Linked DNA regions of Arabidopsis thaliana. The protein of the gene in region 2 binds, or shares a complex with, the protein of the main gene of each other region. Each region holds a gene or a part of one and is shown on either strand. Other genes may lie near its edges.

Region 1 (8,110 bases), on a different chromosome or scaffold from region 2:
TCTCGTCACATATCTTCATCGACAAAAAATTTACTGAAAGCGAAAAAAATAATGGCAGCTTTGGCATCAAACCCCCAAATGCTAACTAGACAAGCTCACGGTAACAAGAAGGAACAATTGTGGAGGAAAGAGAGTTTAAATTTGGAGAAGAAGTGTGGGTTTTGTGTGAGCGTTTACAGTAATGAAAAGCTTGGGAGGTCACATATGGAGAAAGAGTGGAGACTAAAAGCCTTTTGGTCAAACATAGCTCAGCCTACGACTTTGGAGATGGAACCCATTAACAACGTTGAAGAACTCGATGCTGTTCTCTCTCACGCACGCCAACTCTCTCAGCCTATCATCATCGAATGGTAAACACACCAAAATCATATCTTATCCAATCTCCACAATCCAAATTAGATTTGGTTCTCTATAGGAAAGCTAGTCCAGAGCATGGTCAACACTTACGGAAAAATTAGGTTAACTAAAAAATCATACAAAAATGCGTTCAAGTTTTTTTTTTATCCCGGCTCCGATTGGTTTGTTGAACTCTCTTTTGTTATAATGATGGATATCAAAGGAGTTCAATATTTTTTGTAGTTTTCTTGCTAGGTTATATTTTTCTCGCAAGTCGCAAGATCATTTTGCCGGATTTTTACTTTATTTTTGACAACTCAACCACACACCAATCAAAGCCTTTATATATGTTTGGTTATGAAGAATTGTGAGAAATATTTGGGCAGGATGGCTTCTTGGTGTCGAAAATGTATTTACTTGAAGCCTAAGTTGGAGAAATTAGCGGCAGAATATAATAACCGGTAAGCTAACAAAAGAATCAACAATTTACATGGATGTTATTGCAAAGGTTGATTATATTGTGAACAAAAATGATTTTTCTTACAACAGAGCAAAGTTTTACTATGTGGATGTAAACAAGGTCCCTCAAACCTTGGTGAAACGTGGAAACATTTCGGTAAAATGCTTAAACATAATTTTGTCCTTCTTTTCTGATGTGGTATGTGCCAAATCTGAACCAATTACTTCCATATTCGTGTGTTATGCAGAAAATGCCTACTATTCAGGTATGCTTACTTTCATCTAATACAACATCAGTATTTTGAGTTTCTTGATACGCATTTGACAATAAAGTAATAGTGAAAAAGTAAATTAACATAATAATGAGAAAAATGAGTGGTGAATGCAGTTATGGAAGGAAGATGAGATGAAAGAGGAGGTGATTGGAGGTCACAAAGGATGGCTTGTCATCGAAGAAGTTAGAGAATTGATCAACAAATTTGTCTAGTTCTCTCTTTTTTTTCATTTCCTACCTTTTTTTTTTCTTTTAAAAAAAATTAATATGTACAGTCAGTTTTCTTATTTTCTTTCTTTATACAATTTCAAACTTAAAAACTCCTTTTTTTGATAATCAAGAAATTTCACATTTTTTTTTCTTTTCGTCGAGATTGAGCTTTGTTAATTAAGAATGGCTAAAGTCAAGGTACAATTGTTCAACCATTCAATTAGGAGGACAAGCATAATCAGAGTAGTAGTTACATTGAAGACAACCATGTTTGGCAAGTAAATGAGCTACTCTATTACAAGTTCTACGAGTGAATGAAAAGCTAATGTTTTGGAAGAAATTTCACATTTTGATTTCTATTTTATACTAATAATTTCAATTAACGATTAAATTAATCAATTCATTAATTGAGCATCATCGTCGCTTTGGCCGAGTGGTTAAGGCGTTTGCCTGCTAAGTAAATGGGGTTTCCCCGCGAGAGTTCGAATCTCTCAGGCGACGAATTTTTTCACCTTTTTTTTTTCCTTATATGTTAACCTCCAGTTTGGCCTGCACTTGCAAATTAATCGACAACCGTGAATTGTTTTTTCTTTTAAATTGGACACGATTGCTTTAGATTTTGAGACTGTAACTCTTGCCAAAAGCTACTTGTTTTTTGTTGTTCATATGCTTCATTCACACAGAGATAGATCAATGTGGATGAGAGGAAGAGTATCACAAAGGTTCTTCTTAATTGCAAGAGAAAGGCTTGCGGATTAAAATCACTGTGAGCTAATGCTTGTGCTCAATCTCAGGCCGTGGCTACAGAAGCTTCTAGATAGTGAAAAATTCAGAGTTTGGAGCCTTTTACACTATGGAGATACACATTATGAAGAAGCAACTGATTCCTTCTTATATCAACCAAGTCATAAAACAAATCATACAAATCAGTGAACCACAGAAGAAGAAAAAAAACTAAAGCTGGAGATCATCAGACTTATAGCACAAACTCAAACACAAACCTTCCCCAATTTACCAACACAAAGAATCTGTTTCCCAATCCTAAACTTTGAAACAAGCCATTGAAAAAACAATCTATGCAAAAGACAGAAAATCTATGAGGCAGTCTCTAAATAAGAAACAGATTCTCCCACGCACCTAGATTTTAAGAAAAGAACCTCTGCATCCCTGGTTCAGGAGAGCCCATGCTGCAGTCAGCGGTTAGTGAAAGACGTAGATAATGTCTTCTTCTCTTGCGATTGTGCAATATGCTTTTCAACTAAACCTGATACTCTTTCAACTTTCTTATCCTTTGGAATGCAATCGGCTGTAGAACTCAGTGAAGTCAAGCCGGAAAAAGAGAAACTTGAGATCTACAGATTGTTGCAGAGGCAAGAGAGATAGGAATCCATCAAGTGACGATGTGTATTCCTTTGCAATACTGTCCATATCTTGACTCATGCTTTGTAGAAATTCTCCAGCACGCTGTGTTAAGCCCTTCCTACCCTCACTGATCCATGAACCGGGCTCTTGCGATTTGTTTTTTTCTCGTCCTGATTCTTTAGATCTGCAGGAAATCGGTGATATTAGAGATCAAATTGTGACCCTAAAATCAGAGGAAAATGTTTGAGCAATAGTTTAAGGTCTACTTTTGTTTGAATATAAAAGACAAAACACACCTTATTTGCAACTCGTGAATTCCTTCATACAAACGATCTGCATGACTCCTGAACCGTAATATAAGCTCAAACAGGACGAAAAGTGATTCGCGGATGGTCTGTGACTGTTCACCCAGAAGAGATTTTCCAACAATGGCGTTGAGGTACTTCTCATGCGCTGCCAAGAGATCATCGAGGTCTTTAGCAGCTTCCATCTCTTTTGAGAAATTAGACCATGATACCTCCAATACCTCAAACATGATGTAATACTGAAAGTTAGTAACAAAATGGTTCATTTCATTCCAAAGGACCTGGCACCGCCTCAGGGCTGAGAGTAATTGCAACTTCACCGAACTTTGAAGCTTAACAAATGAGTTCGAAGTGATGCAATTTGGTTTCATGGTCTTCCAAATTCCGATAAGAGCATGCTCTACCCGTTTCAACTTCCAGAGAAAATTGAACACTCTCAGGTATTTAGACAAAACAGACTCAGTAAACACGGTATCTAATGGAACCCTTGCCTCGTATTCCAATGAGAATACATCCCAGCCTCTGTCTCCACTGCCATGAGGCATCATCTTCACTCTCAATCTGTCTAGCATGTCACGGTCATCATACTGTGCATTTGATGCTCGTATTGCAGCCTCAAGAAACCCAGCTAGCTCAAATGAACTAATATTATTGGCTGGCTCAGAAAGCTTGGGTCCTACAATATCCATCAAGTACTGGACAAAATCACCTTGACCAAGTAGTAAATAACGCTTAATCGCAAGACAATGCTCCTTAAATTTATATCTCTTATATAGAACATCCAACAGATGCTTGTCGATTCTCTTTGCTGCCTCGGTTACAAGATGTTCAAGTGCATCTGTTTCACCATACCCGAGACCTCCTCGCCTAGTTGTTGTCCCAGAGGCAGCTGCTGCTTCTGAAGCTGCATCAGCCCACCCGTGGTCATCACAGCAAACACGAAGAAAGTTTATAGATTTCCCAGTTCTCAGAATTCTCTGAGCTAGACTTGGTGAAATAAAAGATGGAAGCATTGCTGGGTGGAGCTTATAGCCTTCTCTCCAAAGCAAATCGACTTTAACCGGCTGACCTACGACAAAGAATTCACCAAAAGTATCTTCCAACTCCCCTTCTAGAACCCAACTTCTCACCATTTCAAATAGCGGAGAACACACACATCGAAGCAAACTCATCATAAAATCATGAACAAGCGGATCACCATGCTGTGCGTGCAAATGGATAGCCCCAGCCATCGCCCCACCTCTCAAAACCTTACACTTGTCAACCAAAACAGCCATCAGTCTCATTTTCACCATAGGCTCCGCAAACCATACCGACAACCTCCTCAAAGAAAGGTAATTGTTTGAGCTTGCTGATTCAGAAACCAAAGGAATAGGATTCATGGCCTGCGCTTCTAGCACAGCTAACAACTTATAATAATCAGAAAGCTCATCTTGCAACGCCGCACAAAACGCTTGCCCAACAGTTCCCACATCCTCAGCTGGAAACCGATCCATACTCTCAGTTATAAAAGTCTTAACCTTTCTAAACAACCAACCAAGCTCAGAGAGCATACGAACCATAATCCTCGTAGCTCGAGGCACCTTAACAGACTCCTGCACGGCATAACCGTCGATTTCACTGTTAAATTTGACATATTTCCCATCAATTCCTTGGCTAGCATACAAAACATCCCTCACTAGAACCTCCTCCGTCACTTCATTCTCTTCCTTAACCAAAATGGCATACTCTCTAAACGCAATATCCCTCAAATTCTCAGGATCTTTACTAACCAACAAAACCCCATTACTCCAATCCTTCTTCTTAGCCTCTCCACGGCTCAAAACCCCATTACCAGTATCACCAATCCCCAAATTAGGTAACAAAACCGAGGAATCAAGACCATTTATAGCCGATTTACGATCGTCAGAAACAATTTTAAGCAAATAAACAAGAGCCCATTTGTTATTGACACTGCCAGGTCCAGTTTTGGAAGCGAACTTAGTGTAGAGATCGGCAAAAGCGAGTGCGTCGGAGGACTTACCCTGAGTAGCGAGACGGCGTTTGAGAGACTCAGCGATAGCGGTGGCGTCAGGGAGGACGGAAGGAGTAAGACGACTAGAGAGGATACGAAAAGCGTAACGAAGGGTTTTGAGGAAGGCGGGAGAATTGGGATCGAGATTAGGGGTTTGAGGGTTTTGTGAGACGAGACGAAGAACAAGCTCTTGTACTAGATCTGCAGCCTTCTGCTGATCGTCGTCTTCCATAATCAATTCAAGCTTTTGCCTTTTTTTTCTTCTTCTTCGATTTCACCTTTTTTTGGATTTTTTTTGTTCTTCGAAGTTTTTTTGGTGAATTTGATTTTTGAAATCGAAAGAGGTTTTGCAGAGTTTGGGCGAGTGAAGAGAGTAGTGAGTGAACGAATAAAAAAAGATTGGGCTTCTTTTGGACTTTAGAGCTATGTAATTATTTTTCCTCGGCGGGCAATTGAATACATATGTTGAAATCCAAAAACATTGGAATAAAAAAACATTATGCAAAATATCTTCTCATTTTTTTTGTTATAAGTTTTATTTCAAATATATTATTTGAAACAACGGAGAAAAATAATGTTTGAATTAAAAAAAAGTTCACAAGTTAATTGATATGTTACGTAGAATTTTTTTGTTTAATGGAATTTTGAGAATTTTCCATTTTAAAATTAATAAAGAAATATATAAATATGAAAAAACCTCATAATATTTAATTCACAATAAAAGGTACCAATAAAAATGTATACTTTTTTAAAAAATTAACTAGCATTTAAAAAAGATTATTTGGTTTTATCTACCAAATTTATGTATTTATTGAGCAAAATAATAAAAACAGTTCATTTTAGACATTTGTTCTCTGAATAGAGGAATGATTTCTCTACTCATTTTAGGTAGTAAAATGTTTCTCTACTCATTATTTTCATCAATGAAGATGAAAATAAAGGAAGCTTATTTCCACTTTAATCAATTGTAAAAAGAAAAGTACAAGATCGGAATTAAAAAGTAAAAATATTAGACCTATTTTTACGTATGTGGAAAAATATTCCCTGTAACAATCACTTTCTACTTTTTTCACTAATTAATTTCTCTATATTCTGTTTGTTACAGATTGCACACCATTTATATATATACACTACTTTACTATCATTTCCATATCTTTATCTTTTTCACACCAATTTACTTCCTTATCTAATCATAATTGATTCAACAACAAAAGTTTAGAAGTTTATAGCTATTTATGACATAGAAAAATCCGTGAAGGCAAATACGTACAATTGTACATGTGTACGTATACGATTCTTCTCTTATCTTTATCTCTTAATGATGTTTTGGTGATTACAGTTTAAGAGAAGAACGAATAAACAATTGAAACTCGGGTATTATCACTTCAAACTTCAAAGGCAAGCGAGAGATTATTATTAAAAAGTAAACACTCTTTTACACAACAATCGCAATCATCTAACTAATTACTCTTTTAATGATGATTATGCTTTTCTCTTCTTTAAGTTCCTCTTCTTCTTCTTCTTCTACGTAATCACTCACTCTCTCTTGCATCATCATAATCCTTTGCATGCGATTCGGCTTTTAGCGGCGGTGATGCTACATTGAGTTAGTACCCACTTGCCTCTCTTCTTCTCTTTTATTGCAATTTTCGACCTAACCCAAGTGTTCGAAGCTCGTGGCATTTCCGTAATTCTCTTATTCCTCTCATTGTGATTCTCTCACTCGCTTACCGATTGAGCTTTGTAAACTCCCAATTTCATTGCTTTCCTGTCAATTTGCAAGTTGCTCTATGACAATTTGGAATCTTTAGCTCAGTTTGACAAAAAAAAAGGAATCTTTAGCTCATTACACAGTCGAGCATAATTCCGTTAGCTTGGTTTCAGTCTGTACTTGATAAAGTTTTGTACTTTCTTCATTTTTTCAGTCACTCGAAGTTTGAATTTGGTTTTGTGATGGGATCTAAACAAGTATCAAAGACTAGAAATGGTGGATTTAGCAAGTTAAAGACTGTTGAGTCCTCTGCATCTTCAACAACCTCGTCTTCAAAACTTTATCAAGAGGCGTCTGTAGATAGCCATAGCTCCCCTACTTCTTCATCGGTTCGAAGCAAGCCTCAGTTACCACCTAAGCCTTTGCAGTCCAAAGAAAATGTCACTGTCACTGTGCGTTTTCGTCCACTCAGGTGAATATGTTGATTTCTTTTGTGTAGGATTCAAACACTTTAGTTTTATATGTTTGTTCTGTGGATTGTTGACATTGGTTTATGCTTCACTTAGTCCAAGGGAAATCCGGAAAGGAGAGGAGATTGCATGGTATGCAGATGGGGAAACGATAGTGCGGAATGAGAATAATCAATCAATAGCTTATGCCTATGGTTAGTCTTAACAGTTTGACTAGTGTTCATGACTTCATGAGTTTCTGTAACCATCATAAATCTTGTTCTGTGGAATGGATTGAAGTTTCATGCATCATGAATCAAGACCTAAATTAAACTAGATATCAAGGTCCAATCTGCCATATTTTTTCTTGAAATTTCTGTTGTCCTTTCTTGCAGATCGTGTTTTCGGGCCTACTACGACTACACGCAATGTCTATGATGTTGCTGCTCAGCATGTCGTTAATGGTGCTATGGCGGGGGTCAATGGTATGGACTAAACACTTATTATTGCCCTCTCTAGTTAAGACTTTATTCTTAGAAGAGAAAAAGATATTTTTAGTATCAAGCTTACCCGAGCTACAGTACCATGAACAGTTGCATGACCATTCATTTAGAAAATGAGATCTTTGAGTTGCCAAACTCTATCTAGTGCTTGTTCTAGTCTCTAGAACAACTTTAAGTTAGATTTTCTTGCCAATTTGATTTTATTGTAGTGACTTTGAGTGTTAATTCAACCACAGGGACCATTTTCGCATATGGAGTGACAAGCAGTGGGAAAACTCATACAATGCATGTAAGATTCACTAATCATGTTATTTCTTGCTTTTCATCTTATTATAATAGAACGTATTAGGTTACTACCTTGTACAATGTACTTCAATGTGTCATCCCAGACAATGCTTATCTGTCAGAGAGTCATTTACCTCTTCCTTCTTTTCTGGCTAAATCACTGAGTAGTTCAGGAACAAAGTTTCTCTCCTTTAGTAGCCAT
Region 2 (6,080 bases):
GTTTGTTTGAATTTTGAGATATAAAACTGGTGATTGATTAATTATGTGAAGTCATACGTTATACTTTTATTTTCTCTCTTTTAATCAATATTTCTTAGTTAATGTTGCTTCTTTTACACTTGGAGTTTCGTCTTTATTTTGATTTATAAAACTGTTAATCAAATACCTAATTAAACCATTCAAAGATGTTATTAAAATAATTAATATCACAGTTTTACATTTCATTCCATATAAATAAGCAGGAATCTTATTGTTGTTCATCAATCAAAAACAAACAGAGCATTAAGCATATATTTGGCTATACTAAGGCTTTTTTATTTCTCAGTTTCTCATTATGCCTATCAAAAATGTGTTTTCACTCTTAGTGGTTCTATGCATCATAGTTTCTGTAAATGCTCAGTTACCTCAGTTTCCGGCTCCGTTTCTTTTTCCATTTTCGTTTCAACCGATTCCTGGAATGCCAGGATTACCTGATATAACGAAATGTTGGTCATCCGTGATGGATATTCCTGAATGCATTGCAGAGATTTCTCAATCCATTTTTATTGGCAAATTCAGTAATTTAGGTTCTGCTTGTTGCAAAGCATTTTTGGACGCTGAAGCCAACTGCATACCAAAAATTCCACTTATTCCGCTTTTCCCTCCGATGCTAAAAGAACAATGTTCAAGAATTGCCGGTGTAACTCCTCCTACACCGAAATAGAGTTTTAAATTATTATTTTTTAAATAGATAATTTTTTTTCCAATTTATTTCTTACAATTTTAGCTTACGCTACATGTTATACTCCAAAAAAATATCATATAAAGTAAAAACATTTGAGAAGTTGTATTTGGGTTCAATATTTACTCATTCTTCAATTCTAATGAATAACAGCTTGAAACATCGATTCTATAATTAACTTTGTCTTACAATGTTTCAAAACTTGGAATTATATTAGATAATTCCCTTCTAAATAGACAGTTGTGAGAATTAAATAATTTTTTACGAGATTTAAATTTTACATAGTAATCTGTATTTTCTAAATACAAATTTTAATCTTACACATTCTATAGATTCTATATAACATGCTTTTATTGATTACATATAATAAGGTATTTCTCAGAGTACAACACAAAGATAAGACAAAGACGACTGACGACATACAACATCAAGAAAAAGACGGACGCAACGGAGCCTCTAGATGCATATTGTTGTAAACAAATTGAACGATATAATTGAGGGAAAAAAATAAACTTAAGAAAATAAAAGAATAAACATATTTAAGTTATTAGAAAATATTAAAACACATATTAATATTTTTCAAAACAAAATAAAGAACTTATACTTCTGTTTTGAATATATCAATTTTAATAGAATTAGTTCATTAGTTCAATAGTTTAGTATATTAAATAAAAAATTTGAATATAGAAACATTATTTTTGACTTTATGTATATATTTCTTTTTCAATAAGGTTAGAAAAAATTTCTATTTATGTTTTTAAATATAAAAAAATTTGATTTGACATGTGCGAATATCTTATTAATAAATTTGACACGTGAGTTAATAATTTTGAAAACTCATTTCTTATATAATGAAATAAGCATTTGTTCGAGAAAAAAATATTAAAAACAAACATCTTCTATATGATTTATCTCAATTATAAAAAATCTGTTTTTTTCAGATGTTAAAAAAGAAAAACAATTGTGTCAGAGTTATATTATTTTCTTTTCATTAGTATAATTCATTAAAAAAAATTAACACTATCAATCTTAGTGTCGGAGTTATATTTCAAACATATTTTTGTTTAGAATATTAATATGATTATTGAAAGACAATAAACTTTTTTTCTTTTGACATAACACAATTTACATTTATTGAAAGACCTCCAAGTCCTTTCCCTTCGTCTCCCACTTCTCACTTCACACTGTGAGTCTGCGACTATCTCCAAGACCAAGCTTCATACTTTATTTTTGCAAATTCCGTTTCTAAACGTAAGTTTTCTTATCTTCGTTTCTATCAGATTACTCCTTAATTCTTAGTCTCGAAATAAAAAATTTGAAATTTATTCGATGTTATGCAAATTGCCGCCGACATAAAAACCCTAATTTCAATCTCATTTTTCATCTGAATTACATTTCTTTTGAATTGAATGTTTCTGGGTTGTGTTTTGGTTTTGGTATTAACTGATCTATTAGACTAATCCTTGTTCACCTATCAGATAATATTATTGGGCTCTGAAACAAATTTGACTCACTTTTGTGTGTGTGAGCATTGTATCTTCACTACAAAGCTCTAGCTTGAAATGTTGTTGTGTAATTTATAAGACTCTAGTTTCTAACTTCTTATGTCAAAATCACCTAAGAGTCTTTGACTTGGTTCTTGTTAGATCATAGTTCACTTACTTTTGTCTAATTTGGTTTGGTAGAAACTCTATAATTCACTAACTACCTTAGGACTTTAAAATTGTGGAGTTTAACAGGTGTGATCAGTATGGATGAGGAGGCATCTCGGACAGCAAGAGAGTCACTAGAGCTTGTGTTTCGCATGTCAAACATCTTGGACACGGGTTTGGACCGGCATACTTTGTCAGTTCTCATAGCTCTTTGTGATCTTGGTGTTAACCCTGAAGCTCTAGCTACTGTTGTGAAAGAGCTTCGTCGCGAGTCTATCCCCGATTCTGTCACAACCACACCATCTATACACTGATCAGGTATTGAGAATTTTCTCAGTCTAATGATGATTGACGAGTCTATGCCCAAGTCTACCTCTTTCTGTTGTTTTCAGATCTAACATATCGACCGGTCGAAATTTATGTTGCAGGTATGCAATGGATTATACAAGTATTGTGGTTGGTATGTGAATCTTGTTACTACTTTTTTTGTATCATTTAAACAAAATTTGTATGGATGAATTATAACTTCTTTTATTTGTATGAACCGTTATTTGAAAGCCAAAGTAGCAGAATGCAAAAAAAAGTATATAATTGTAATTTTATCTCTCAAAAGCTCATAGAAAATTCAGTGATCATGTGTCACTAAAGCAGAATGCAAAAGGAATTTGGGATCATCTGATTCACAACCCCTGGAAGGTAAAAACATTCTATGTATCCCCGAAGAGGGAAATCACACTCAATCAAAATCTCTGCACACCAAATCTCCGTTTTACATTCCTTAGTATAAGTCTTCCACCGAACTATCACTCTCCTTCCTCAGGCCAGGGTTTTGTCACCGAAATAAGATACTTAGAGGACGGTTCTTCAAGTCCTCTAATCGTGAACGTGCATATATCACCGCAGACTAGTTTCGAGTTTCAGAAACCCTCGCTGTCCACCATACGTTATTCTTTGACTCTAACAAGCAAACAGTAGGGCACAAACCAATAATTTTCTCGCGAGAAAATCTTCCAGTACATTTTGTTGGCTCCCAAGTCTGTGTCTTTGGGTCGTAAACTTCTCCATAATTCTCAGCAGTGTCATAATACTTACTGCTGATGCCTCCAAACACAGATCTTACCGTCGATAACATTAAAACATGCTTCTTCTCGAGGGACATGCATCTTGGGGAGTTGACGCAAATGATGAGTTTTACAACCAAGTAAATATCTGAACCAAGTGATACAACAGTCGAAGAACTAGGATGTTGGTAAGGAAAGTTAGGAAGTGAAGGGACTGGTATCAGTTTCTGGTTGGGAGAAAGGGAATGTACGAACCAGCCAGGTTTTTTATTTAAGTTTAAGCAAACATAGAGACACTTCTCCTTTTTTCCTATAAGGGATCTTGCGGCCTCGAGGTCAGGGGAAGCTAGGAGTGATCGGAAAGTCTTTGGAGACTAGAGATAGGGTTGGATAATGGCACACTTCTACAAAGTATTGGAAATGTGTTTTTCTTTAAGCCTAGAGACAAAAGGCCTGAGTTTTACTCTTTCACAATGGCTAATACATCCATAGATTTCTGTCTTTAATTGACTCTAATACTTGTATTTCTTCCGTGGCCTTTACGCCAAATCAATCTGTGGTAACATCGGTAGGAAGAAAATATTATAATATTCGTCTTCACCTGTTAATCTACTCGGTAAGTATACGGTATAGTTTCTGCGTAATGGTTAAACTTTTAGAAGACAAGTATTAAGCATATATAGACAAAGAACCAAAGTAATAAGCTAGTTATATACCCACACTCAATGGTTAGCTTAATGATTCACCAGAGACGCTTTACTCTTCAAACTCACTCATCTCACATTCATCATTACTCCACAACTGTACAGCTGAAGAATATCAGTCACACTGAACACTCTTTTTAACTCTATTGTTTGCCAAAATCATGCATGGTCACAAATTCATAGCCGAGGGACATCCTCAGAGGAGTTGATTGCTTCTTCAAAGCAATGAGCCCCGACATTGAACCTTTTGGTTAGTACGGTGTTACCTTTTTTGCGGTTTTACCAGCCTGGTAAGGAGCTCGCAGATGCAAAGTGAATGAAAGACCTGCGCGAGTCATTTTGATGAAGTGAATGCTCGCGCTGGCTTGTTAACAACCCAACAACCTGGCTTCTTGATGCATTTCCCGGGCCAAGTATGTGCGTATATCTTGAGTGGAGGAAACGAGGCAAAGAAACCTGGTGGGGTGAGTTGTAAGATCTTTGGGAAACGGCGTTCCTGAGATCTGCTGAACTCCGGCTAACTGGTATAGGCCGGGAAAATCGGTTTGATCCATTTTGGAAGCTTGTGTGGGAGCGAGAGTGGGAGAGATACATAGGAACTGTGTGTGGCTGCATTGAGGTGGATGGTAAAGAAGGGTCTACTCTGATGGATATTGGTAGCTCATGAGATGACTGCAATGGGGTTGTGGAGGATGATGATAAGAGAAACGATGACGTCGGGGTCATGCTAGGAGTCCGAGAAAGAAAGGGTGTGTGCTCTGATGGGGGCTTGTCGGTACTGATGCTTCTTGCATCGCGTTTGCAAACCGGGCAAAAGGATTTCCTCTGGCCAAGCCACAAGTCTACACAAGCAACATGAAATTCTGCCAAGACAACAAGAAGAACCAATTAAGAATGGTTATGCATGAATTTTTTTTTACTTCGAACTGAGTCAAAGTACTTACTGTGATGGCAAGGTAGGATCCTTAGCTTGTCCCCTTTCTCATAATTCTCAAGGCATATGCAGCACAATATAGATGTAGTTGCTTCATCACAAATACCGTTAAATATGGTAGTAGGCATACGTATTATCATGCTTTTGGGCATACGATGAAAGTCATTGCCATTAAGAGCCAGAATACGCCGACGCCTAACTCGATGCCTACGGACAAAGAAGCAAGTAGCGAGCACAGCCGACATGGCGAGGAGAGATATGAAAGAAATAGCCATGATTGACCATGCTGAAGTCTCGAAACTTGGCATGAGCCACACTTCAAAATCGGTACGACCCGCATACTCTTTAAGTACTTCCCCAGTTGCTTTGGAGACAAACGTACCATAAATAAGTACACCAGAGGGGTTTCCTGCCACTACATTAGATTCACAAGATCATTAACAACTAATGTATGTAACCAAAGTCTCAAGCAACAAATCAAAACAAGAAACAATACAAAGCCTACGACAAAATAACGAAAAAAGGCGAGGGAAAGAAGTGTTTACTTGATACTAAGAACCCAAAATCTTCATAGTCATAAACAATAGCAGCTTTATAACCAGCCTTTTGAGCATTCCTAATCTTATCTTCGAAACTACAACCACCGCGGATAATCAACACATACGGAGGAGACACAGTAGTTCCATTTTTCACATTCACCGTATTCACCAAATCCGAACAAGCATCGAGTGGCTCTGCTACATACAACACACCGCCTTGATCCGATCTCTTAATCATCGGAGCTGAAAAAACAGTAAATCAATCACCATTACCATCAAAGCCAATGAACAAAAATCTGATAACAACCCAATTTCTCAAATCTGATTTAGAACAAACCATAACTTGAAAAAGACAACAAAGTTTCAAACTTTCTCTATAAACGATCAAACCCAAATAACAAAAGCTGAACAAATTCAAAACCCAATTTCTCAATTCTAATTTGGAACATTTCAAACAAACAATAACTTG
Region 3 (10,544 bases), on a different chromosome or scaffold from region 2:
TTGTTGTCCTTGCTTTGGGCGCCGGAGAAAGAATAAGAAATTTTCCAAGAATGACATGAATGGTGACGTAGCAGCCCTTGGAGGTAAATTATCCCAACAACCTTATAATATCAGTCCATTCTTGCAGTAGATTTCGTTTATGTTGGAATCTTGCGGATCTGATAGTGTTTTTTGGCAGGAGCAGAAGGTGATAAGGAGCATTTGATGTCTGAAATGAACTTTGAGAAAACATTTGGGCAATCATCCATCTTTGTAACCTCAACTTTGATGGAAGAAGGTGGTGTTCCTCCGTCATCAAGTCCTGCAGTGCTCCTTAAAGAGGCAATCCATGTCATAAGCTGCGGTTATGAAGACAAGACTGAGTGGGGAACTGAGGTAATAATACTGAATCGTAGAAATCACCTTCTTATTTGTGATTTAGTAGCTGGCCATTGTAAAAAACGTTTGTGTATCTCGAAATTGCAGCTGGGTTGGATCTATGGCTCTATCACAGAGGATATTTTGACGGGATTCAAGATGCATTGCCGTGGATGGAGGTCTATTTACTGCATGCCTAAGAGGCCTGCATTCAAAGGTTCAGCTCCTATTAATCTATCAGACAGGTTAAACCAGGTTTTGCGTTGGGCACTTGGATCGGTTGAGATATTTTTCAGCCGGCACAGTCCTCTCTGGTATGGCTACAAAGGAGGCAAACTCAAGTGGCTTGAGCGTTTTGCTTATGCCAACACAACAATCTACCCCTTCACATCTATACCACTTCTTGCCTACTGTATCCTTCCAGCCATCTGTCTCCTTACTGACAAATTCATCATGCCACCGGTTAGTAAAATTATCAGAGAAAAGCACTTAGAAGCTGCATCAAATGTGCTAACTATCTGTTTTCCCAATTTTTCTTTCAGATAAGCACATTTGCTAGTCTCTTCTTCATCTCACTGTTTATGTCGATCATTGTAACGGGAATCTTGGAATTGAGATGGAGCGGAGTTAGCATTGAGGAATGGTGGAGAAACGAGCAATTCTGGGTCATTGGAGGAATCTCAGCTCATCTCTTTGCGGTTGTCCAAGGTCTCCTCAAAATCTTAGCAGGCATTGACACAAACTTCACCGTCACATCAAAGGCAACAGATGATGATGACTTTGGAGAACTTTACGCATTCAAATGGACAACACTGCTGATCCCTCCAACAACTGTCTTAATCATAAACATTGTTGGCGTTGTTGCAGGCATCTCAGATGCCATTAACAATGGATATCAGTCTTGGGGACCTCTATTTGGTAAACTCTTCTTCTCCTTTTGGGTCATTGTTCATCTCTACCCATTCCTCAAAGGTCTGATGGGTAGACAGAACAGAACACCAACCATTGTGGTGATTTGGTCAGTGTTATTGGCATCTATCTTCTCTTTGCTTTGGGTAAGAATTGATCCTTTTGTGCTCAAGACCAAAGGACCTGACACTTCCAAGTGTGGCATCAACTGCTGAAGCAAAATCTTTTTCGTCTTCTGAAACTTTTTCTGTACTTTGTCGAGAGTGTTTTCACTTCTCTCTTTGGATTGCATAATTGGATTTTGTTTATTGTATATTAGCCAGTAAAACAGATGGATCTGGGTTTATTGTGAGCGAGTAATGCATTGTAAGAAAATTTGAACAAAACTACTTTTTAGTTACACAGTAAAAGATTCACAGATACTTCCCTCAAGAGACATGTAGTTGCAGTGAAAACCCACAAATCTTGAATGCAAATTTTTAACAGAGAGCCTGAGACTTGTTCTTATATCGTGGAGTTCACAAACAAAATAAAGAAACGACAACAAAAGCCTAAACACACGCACACATCTCATAACAACTTCTCAAGCTGAATATCATTTGATAACATTAAAAAACAAATTGAATTGCCTGAGTTTGTTTAGTTAAAGTCTCACCTCTTATTCTTTCGAAACACCAAGGATCCACTGGGAGAGATGAGTCAAGTATGGCTCAGCCTGGGAGCCTTTGCTCAAGACTGGTCCTAAGCTCTGCAACTCCGAGTTGAACTCCCTTTCGAAATTGCTGGTAGAACACGTAACAGACATATTAGAACAATACCGTGATAATGAAGTTCAAAAATTCTAACAGCAACGGCTTTTGTAGAGATAGTGTAGCCATTAGTTTGAAAAACAATTCCTTGTTACTACTTACAATATGGACTCTGTAACGGTTGTGTCTCTTATCATTGTCTTCTGTGGATGAGACTGGCTATTGATGTCGATAGACGATGATATCAACCACTGTGTGGCTGCAGCATATTGCAGACACACTGATTTCAACTTCTCCATTTTCTGCACCATCAGTAAATATGAGTGTAAAATATTGATAAACATTACACTATTATTAGTGCGTTCAGAATTTTTGCTCTTGTTGCACGAAAGAGAAGCACATCACACTGTTACATCTGTCCTGAGAAAACATAACATTTAGTGGAACAGCGACAAACCTTAAGGACGTCAGGTAAAAGAAGCAAGCATCCTCTCAGACATTTATCAAGAAAAAAGTCGTGATGTTGTATCACCTGCAAGATGATGGCACATTGTTCAATGAAGAATGTTTTCCCTGCAAACCAAAACAAAGCAGGTCTCTACACTTACCTCATCTACACTCCTTGTGGATTGTAGTCTATCGTGCATTACATGCCAATTTGGTTCGAGAACCTGAAGAGACATCCCACATAAAGACAAGCAAAAACAACATTAGAAAAACTTAGAGAGGCAATAGTTGCTAAAATAAACACCAAATCATCTCATAAAGAATTATGTCTTTATATACTTCTGGTGTGATTTCTCTCCTCTGTTCATTGATAGTGTACTTATTTCTCCAGAATCACGTTTTCAAGAATGTATTTCTCGAAAAACACAGTTGCAAGAAGTGCCTACATTTGTAAGTATGGTTTTTACGACTACAGAGATATCTGGATTCAATATACAGAGTGTATGTCAGCAATTCTAGAAGTTAGTTTTCCAGAGACTTACACCGCAAAATCACAATGGAAAACAGGATCTATGAATAGACAATCAGAATCTTTAAAAAACAAAAAAATATTCAGATTCCATTCTATTAGCAAAAAAAAATGTTTTAAAAAACAAACAAAACAAAACAAAAAGAACATTCAGACTTGCCTCGAATGTAAGATAATGTAGAAGGCTACTGATGAATTTAAGCATGCTACGGCAGAGAAGCGATGATCTAAGAATTGCTGTACCCTTAGAGTTCATAGACCGAATCCCCTGTAGAATTTTCACAGCAGTTTGTTAGCGAAGCAAAATGATTAAAATGGTTTTAGAAGAAACCAAAACTGAAACAAATTACAAGCTACACAATATTATATCAGTCCTTACTTGATGTATCTGCCAAGCACCACAAAGCTGGCGTTCCACATGTTTGCAATGAAAAAGAAAGCGGAAAATTAACTGGTACTTTGACAATGCTTTCTTTGATATGACAATAGATAGTGGCCATTGAACCTGAAACACAAAGCCACAACCAACAATCAAACAATTGAGTAGCCAATCGAATATGCATTTGTCGATTACTTATATAAGTATGAATGATGACTCTAGAAATGCATTAGTAGTTATATATAACAACCATTAATAGCCATTAAGCTGTGTTATTACTTATATATATCTCGACGAACAAAATAGTTCGAATCCAGATACAAACAGGTAGTTGCAGACAAGGCAAGAAAGGAGCAGACCTTGTAGCTCAAGGAAAATGTCTCTAGACCAGTGATGCTCATTGGGTCCTCAATACTATTGCTATCAGTGTCCTTGTGCATTCCCAAAGTCGTAAGCAATGAAGCTCGATCCTAAGATATGAATACAAAGTGAGAACATATAATGTACAAACTCTGTAAATTCATCACATCCAGGAAAAGACAAATTAACTGCTCACCACACAACAAGTCAAGTCTTCGTGACGAGGATCTGCTGCAGCCGCTGTGGTACGTAGAGCAAGATCTAGCAAAGACTAAATAATACACATCCATTTAGATTCCAGCAAACAAGTAGAGGCCATAACGATTTAATAATGGTAAGAAGCTTTGTCTAATATTTTGAATCATGCTCTAAAGGGGAAAAAAGTACCTGCAACTTTTCAACAGATATTTCATGCACTTTTTTGTTGAGCTCCTCTCGAGCAATGTCCATAAAATGAACCAAGAAATCACCCTGTAGTTCATTACATTGTTATACCAAAATCAATGACTGAAGAAAACAACTCAACAACAGACTTTTCACATTGATAAATTTGTGCCTAGGAAATTCTGAAGAACTCTGAAGATAACTGGTTATTCATGAACAGAACCAGCATACCTGGTCGAGAAGAAGATAGTGCTTTATAGATCGAAGCCTTCCAACAAGGTCATACTGAATCATATACTGATGGTCAGAGAGGTGTATTGACGAGGAACGACATCAAAGAAGCAGTCATCATAAAACAAAATAAGTATTACCTTATCCTTGATGAGATTCACAAGCTCTATACTGGCAAATTCGTGAGCAGCCTTTATGCATTCAAGATAATGATGATTTGACCCAAATATTGTTAACTTAGATCTCTCTGATATGGGAACCTGTTAAAAAAAATCAGCCAATGTCGGGTCCAGTGTCACAAACACTGTTAATTGTATTAATAAACAGGAAATTCATTCACAATCATACCTGAACATTGTGCCCACATTCTCTCATAACGTTTAGATATTTCCCTGTGGTCAATATTGTTGCAGCAATGTTTGCTAGGAAGCCAGGAATAGTATCCTTAAGGCTGTATCTTTGGCTCCAATATTTAGCTGTAGAGTCCTGACTGAGGCTCTCCTGTACAAAAAAAAATTGACATTGTTAGATCAAGCAATTAACAATAGTGCAGACGAGCTGAGCAATCGAAGTACCTTTTTGAGAGACCTGTTCTCGGCAATGAAAAATTCCCCATACGGATCATCAATGATCCCTTCATAGACCCACCTTAATTAAACACTATTTAAAGTTAGTTGACACATCAAAGAATAATAATATAAGCGATCTAGCAAATAGGGTAACCATGTACAGATCTGCCAAACCAAAAGATAACAAACATGTTCGCTAATCACTCCATCCAAACAAAGGAAAAACATAGTCACAGGTTGGACTTAGATTTATCTGAGCATTCCAAGCAATAACAAAAGGGAAAGGGCAGAGATTGTAGCACAATGTTTTTTTTATGGGAGTCTAGTTACGAGCAAGAAAGAAAGAGGCATGGTAATCAACCTTTCCAATATGCTTAGGTATGCGTTGCTTGCACACTCCGTCATTTTCTCTAACAATGACCTCACTGAATTATCACCAGCCATCGCTTTAGCCTAGGCATGATAGTCTTCAAGATTAGGACATTTAATAAAAAAGCTAATTCTAGTACCAAAAAAATCCAAAAACTTTTAATGACCAAAGCAGGAATCTACCTGACTTTGCAAGAGATTAAGAACACCAGAACCCACAAACTGCTTCGTTGAAGCCTGCTGAATTACTGCAGCCAATGCGCGCATGGATCCCATCATGGGCTGAGAGATACGAAAAACAATCGATCAGCATAATGTTTACGTAACTTGTAGCTTGGATTATTTGAAGAAAGACAGACCTGACAGTAAAACCATAATCCTTGGATAGAAAGTCTTCCAAGTCGAAATTGATGTTCCAATTGTGCCACCATGGCTTGATAATCCTGGTAAAAGAGAGGATGGTTAATACTAGTGTAACAATAGCAAAGAATGTTGTCAAATTACCTCAAAGCTAACATAAAATGATATCCTCAGTCCAAAAAATGCATGACATGTGTTAGACACGAAACTCAAGATGTGAAATGGAAAGAAAAGAATCAGACTATCAGTTTATTCAATGCGGCAATAGTAAGAGAGGGATTAGAGAGACAGTAAGAACTTGGAACAAAGAAGACAGTAAGAGCTATATGTGTCATCTTAGATATTCATACATATGCATATACACACACTCAGAAATGTGATAAAAAAACACCAATTCAGTGGACAAGAAAGAAACCCAATAAACAAACTAAGAGCATTCTAAAATGAGCTTTCCAAGTTCATATTTTTAGTTTACTGAGTAAATCCCCAAACTTGACTATTAGTTAAAAAAATCCATATCCAGTTCGCAAAATCCCCCATCTGTAACAGAAAGGGAACGAAAAATAACTCAACAAACAATGGATCACAATTTCCACAAAGCTAGCAACCTATATCACATACAAGGAGGAGTGCCCTGAGTGCAGCCGCGAATGCATGGTTAACTAGCCCGTTCTTGAACTGCGAGCTTGACTCCACAAATTGGTCAATCAGCAGATAATATTCACATAAAGGAAATATTCTTTTCGCCAATTCCTGCAAAATTATTTGCAACGGTCAATATATATGAGAAGAGCCAATTAAATAAAGAATTACAATGTTAATCCGTTATAACATCTCTAAAAATCCTATTCAAAAGAGAGAACCATCCTAGACATAACATAGTAATGCATGTGTCCATTTTATTGGACTTCGGAGATAATTGAACTTTCAAGAAGTCAGAACACCAATGAAATGCATCAAGTTTCATAAACATAAATATACACTTTGCAAACATCACTGTAACAGTCTCAATATGTGAAAGACTTTGTACATACATGATACATATGCACTAATTCCGGTAGCTCTAAGAAAGAACAGATCAAGCATGGTTAGAAATCACAGATTTTTTGCAGTTGACTACTGTAGACCATCATGATAAAAATGTTTGGGATAGGAACCAAAAGTTATTGTGTTGAGTACTACTTACCTGTAGTGCCAAATCCATTGATGGATCAACTTGGAAAGCTATACTATCCTCCTTCCCATGGAATCTTTTAATTGAAATATATCTCCCTTCAATTCCAACCAACGCAGATAAGAGATCATCAATGACGATAAGCTCCTGCATGCCAAAAGGAATAAAAAACAGTTACTGAAATGGACATAACAAAAGAGGTGACACCAATTCTAAACCTAGGCTAGGAAGTTCCACAATTGTTTAGCTCAGGTCAATTATCCTAGTCTATGCCACGAAAACGAGAAACCAACTTCACCTACAATGATGCCAACTTGTAAAAACTACACAACTCAAACCCAAGCTTTAAGGACCCCAACACTAGTTTCAAGGTTACATAATAACAATCTCACAGAATAAGTGGAAGCCAAGAAAAAAAGGGACAGACTTGCTTTGTAAAATAACACAAACCTGAACCGGTGTGTCATAGCAGCCAATTGCCTGCTCTACTCCAGAACTGCTGAAAGCAAAATATAAAGGTCAATGACTCTTTAGAATAAGATGAAAAAGGAACAGACTTTGGGAGGTTAAAACAGAGATGTATTACTAATTTTTAGTATAAAATTTCAAAATACCTAGACGAGTCTAAAGTAAACCTCTTAGAATCAGCAAACTTGGAGCTTGCCCTCGTTTCCTGAGATAAACCCATTGTCAAAACTACTTTTTCTCAGAAGTTACCAATGTTCACAATTAAATAGAATTTGAACGAATTAGAGAACTAAAATCAAGCACATCTGAAGATCGAGCACCTGATGGAAGCGACCAGTGAGAAATGGTCTGTCTTGGTTCCAACGAGGAGTCGTAGGGCACGAGATTGGCGTCATTGATTCCATTGCTTCGCTCCCAGTCTCTGGAACTAAAAGTTTAAACCTTTATGAAAAAGAAGACACAGATCAGTCAGACAGTCACCATATACCGAACCATCTCCGGTTTTCCTTAAAATGTCCGGTTTTAATTGAACCAGAAATTTCCAGATCCTGGTTTCAAATTCGAAATTAAAAAAGGACAAAACCATTTTTTTAAGTAAAGAAAGAAAAAACCAGCCATTGCTCCTGCCCTGTCCTCCACCTCCAGCTTTGAAATTCACAGAAAATGATTATCTCTTTTCTATTTTATTGGCTTCTCAAAACGAAATAACGAAATCGCCTCCTCTTCTTCTCCTCCTCGACCTGGAAATCAATCTTTCGCCGCCGAGTTCTTCTCTCTGCGGCGGAGAATCAATTAGCAATCTCCAGGTTTTTCACTTCAAAACCTTTCCTTTTATTATCAAATTTTGTTCCTTTTTAGCTTTAGGATTTGATATTTCTAGAACCCAGAAGAAACTCTTGCCCATAACATCTCTATATTTATTGGTATAGAATTAGGTGAGGGAAAAGAGGATGGCTTTGATCGGAAAATCCGAGAGATTCTCTGCTGATTTTGTGATGGGTGGTGCTGCAGCCATTGTTGCCAAATCTGCAGCTGCTCCAATCGAAAGGGTGAAGCTTTTACTGCAGAATCAAGGGGAGATGATAAAGACTGGACATCTCATAAGACCTTACACTGGTTTGGGTAATTGCTTTACCAGAATCTATAGAGAAGAAGGTGTTTTGTCCTTTTGGAGAGGAAACCAAGCCAATGTCATACGATATTTCCCTACACAGGTACTACATTCCAAGAACCCTTACTTTAGATCAGCGTGCTGAGGTTTGTGTTAGATTCTTATTGTCACTAAATTTAATTGCTTTTAGGCTTCCAACTTTGCATTTAAAGGTTACTTCAAGAACCTTCTTGGATGTTCGAAAGAGAAAGATGGTTACTTGAAGTGGTTTGCTGGAAATGTAGCTTCGGGAAGTGCTGCTGGAGCAACAACTTCCTTGTTTCTGTACCATTTGGATTATGCGCGGACCCGTTTAGGCACTGATGCAAAGGAATGTTCTGTTAATGGCAAGAGACAGTTTAAAGGGATGATCGATGTGTATCGTAAAACTTTGTCAAGTGACGGTATTAAAGGTCTTTACCGTGGATTTGGTGTGTCAATAGTGGGAATCACTCTTTACCGAGGAATGTATTTTGGGATGTACGACACCATCAAACCCATTGTGTTAGTCGGTTCCTTAGAGGTAATGTCATCTATGTATGCCGTTATTATTTCTTAATCTATAGCAGAAAATAGCTAAAAATGGTTCTTTGATTCCGTGACAGGGAAACTTCTTGGCTAGTTTTCTATTGGGTTGGAGTATTACTACCTCTGCAGGCGTCATTGCTTACCCTTTTGACACACTTAGGAGGAGAATGATGCTTACATCAGGACAACCTGTTAAATACCGGAACACCATTCATGCCTTAAGAGAGATATTGAAGTCGGAAGGGTTCTATGCGCTATATAGAGGAGTTACTGCGAACATGCTTCTTGGAGTAGCAGGAGCAGGAGTGCTTGCGGGATATGATCAGCTTCACCAGATTGCTTATAAGCATTGGGTTCAGTAGTTTTGGACCAAACCCGAAACGATGACAATGAAAGCTGAGCTCAAAAAGAGAAGGTTAGTAAACACCAAGAAGTCTCACTTGCTTTCCAATGTATTGTGTTAATTAACAGAATCTCGGAATCATTAACCGATTGAACCAGCAGAAGATAGGGAAAATTGTTCATAGTTCTTGTGCAGTAACATTGTTATATCAATAATCCAAGAAAGGCCTATTTGATTTTTGTGTACTGGAGCAAGTTTGTTTCATGTATAAAAGATGAAATAGGTGAAAAAATTTTAAAGCCTTATGAATGATACAAACACAAAAGAGGAAAACTTGCGTTGTTGTCAAGCGAGAAGCCAGAAGTTTTTGTGGCGTTTGGTGGTGATTAAGTAACCGCCGAGCTTGCGGTTCTTGGGTTTAACCGCGATTGTCATGCAAGAGGCGTTTTCGAGGCAGTATTTGAGAACACCTTCGTGTCCACGGCGTCTCTTCCACGCCCATCTCTTCAATAGCCTCCAGACCGGAGGTTTCTTCTCTTGTCCAACCACTAAAAGGCTCACTTGTTGTTTCTTTGATTCTTCAACTATCTTCTGCCCTTTGTCTTTGTCTTTCCCCTCTAACCTCCTTATCTCCACTTCTATCTGACATTCATAAAAGAAATCCACACGTCGCCAGAATTTGATCAGAACAGTAATAGTGTAGCTTTCATTATATGTATAAACAATCGAATACCAAGTGTGACTCACCCCGGGTCGTTTCGTTTGGCACAGTTTCTTTAAAGTATGGACCAATTCATCGGTTTTCACCTCGCGTTTTCGGTTCTTCCTTTTACCTAAAACTCAATCCGAAAAACCTCATTAGCCAAACCAAACAAACCTTAAACAAGAAAATTGACAAAGAGGAGAGAAAGAGAAGAACTTTTTCTAAACGGTTTTGCAAAGTATAACAGAAAAAGAGTGTCTTGTGGTTGTAAAGTATGCGTAATAGCCCATTCTAAAGCTCCGGTAGAAGCAAGCGCTTTATCAACCACCACCATTACTCTATTCCCGCCTTCCGCCTCCTCCTCAACCGCCTCAACCGCTGCCACCGCCTCTTTTTTTCCTTCTCCGCCTCCAATGTTAAAGCTCTTGGCATCATCTTGTTCTTTTTCTTCTTCCTCCTCTACAATTACTTTGACTCTTTCTTCTTCCTTATCTTCAACCTCTTCACTTTCATTGTTTGCTTCTTTGGTGTCTTC

Evidence for each region.
Region 1: GIP1 (region 2) and SPC98 share a complex: the UniProt entries of both Arabidopsis thaliana proteins name them as parts of the gamma-tubulin complex.
Region 3: GIP1 (region 2) and AT5G17410 share a complex: the UniProt entries of both Arabidopsis thaliana proteins name them as parts of the gamma-tubulin complex.

The regions. Positions count from the first base shown.
Region 1 is NC_003076.8:2,053,823-2,061,932, reverse strand, and holds SPC98 (spindle pole body component 98), read right to left. Parts: upstream 5,406-8,110; 5' UTR 5,193-5,405; coding exon 2,938-5,192; intron 2,826-2,937; coding exon 2,564-2,825; 3' UTR 2,074-2,563; downstream 1-2,073. Other genes in the region: WCRKC1 (WCRKC thioredoxin 1), read left to right, coding at 1-350, 723-797, 886-1,081; AT5G06670 (P-loop containing nucleoside triphosphate hydrolases superfamily protein), read left to right, coding at 6,914-7,143, 7,238-7,335, 7,516-7,605, 7,833-7,912. UniProt on the Arabidopsis thaliana protein: Gamma-tubulin complex is necessary for microtubule nucleation at the microtubule organizing centers (MTOCs). Required for the positioning of the gamma-tubulin-containing complex on pre-existing microtubules and for the proper organization of cortical arrays.
Region 2 is NC_003075.7:6,037,235-6,043,314, forward strand, and holds GIP1 (AtGCP3 interacting protein 1), read left to right. Parts: upstream 1-1,820; 5' UTR 1,821-1,972; exon of another isoform or gene 1,973-2,460; 5' UTR 2,461-2,471; coding exon 2,472-2,687; 3' UTR 2,688-2,691; intron 2,692-2,801; 3' UTR 2,802-2,992; downstream 2,993-6,080. Other genes in the region: CRP4 (ECA1 gametogenesis related family protein), read left to right, coding at 335-703; AT4G09560 (Protease-associated (PA) RING/U-box zinc finger family protein), read right to left, coding at 4,418-5,001, 5,083-5,487, 5,618-5,854. UniProt on the Arabidopsis thaliana protein: Required for gamma-tubulin complex recruitment to the microtubule organizing centers (MTOCs). During mitosis, modulates gamma-tubulin complex localization, spindle stability and chromosomal segregation. Necessary for gametophyte development and embryogenesis.
Region 3 is NC_003076.8:5,727,796-5,738,339, reverse strand, and holds AT5G17410 (Spc97 / Spc98 family of spindle pole body (SBP) component), read right to left. Parts: upstream 7,731-10,544; 5' UTR 7,690-7,730; coding exon 7,606-7,689; intron 7,491-7,605; coding exon 7,432-7,490; intron 7,317-7,431; coding exon 7,268-7,316; intron 6,965-7,267; coding exon 6,830-6,964; intron 6,397-6,829; coding exon 6,265-6,396; intron 5,727-6,264; coding exon 5,643-5,726; intron 5,566-5,642; coding exon 5,467-5,565; intron 5,368-5,466; coding exon 5,276-5,367; intron 4,994-5,275; coding exon 4,921-4,993; intron 4,847-4,920; coding exon 4,694-4,846; intron 4,606-4,693; coding exon 4,486-4,605; intron 4,400-4,485; coding exon 4,346-4,399; intron 4,202-4,345; coding exon 4,118-4,201; intron 4,002-4,117; coding exon 3,927-4,001; intron 3,841-3,926; coding exon 3,730-3,840; intron 3,497-3,729; coding exon 3,371-3,496; intron 3,260-3,370; coding exon 3,152-3,259; exon of another isoform or gene 2,741-3,151; intron 2,687-2,740; coding exon 2,624-2,686; intron 2,548-2,623; coding exon 2,473-2,547; and 6 more. Other genes in the region: IRX3 (Cellulose synthase family protein), read left to right, coding at 1-83, 179-375, 466-819, 900-1,481; ER-ANT1 (endoplasmic reticulum-adenine nucleotide transporter 1), read left to right, coding at 8,236-8,499, 8,587-8,958, 9,041-9,325; AT5G17390 (Adenine nucleotide alpha hydrolases-like superfamily protein), read right to left, coding at 9,652-9,948, 10,054-10,139, 10,226-10,544. UniProt on the Arabidopsis thaliana protein: Gamma-tubulin complex is necessary for microtubule nucleation at the microtubule organizing centers (MTOCs). Required for the positioning of the gamma-tubulin-containing complex on pre-existing microtubules and for the proper organization of cortical arrays.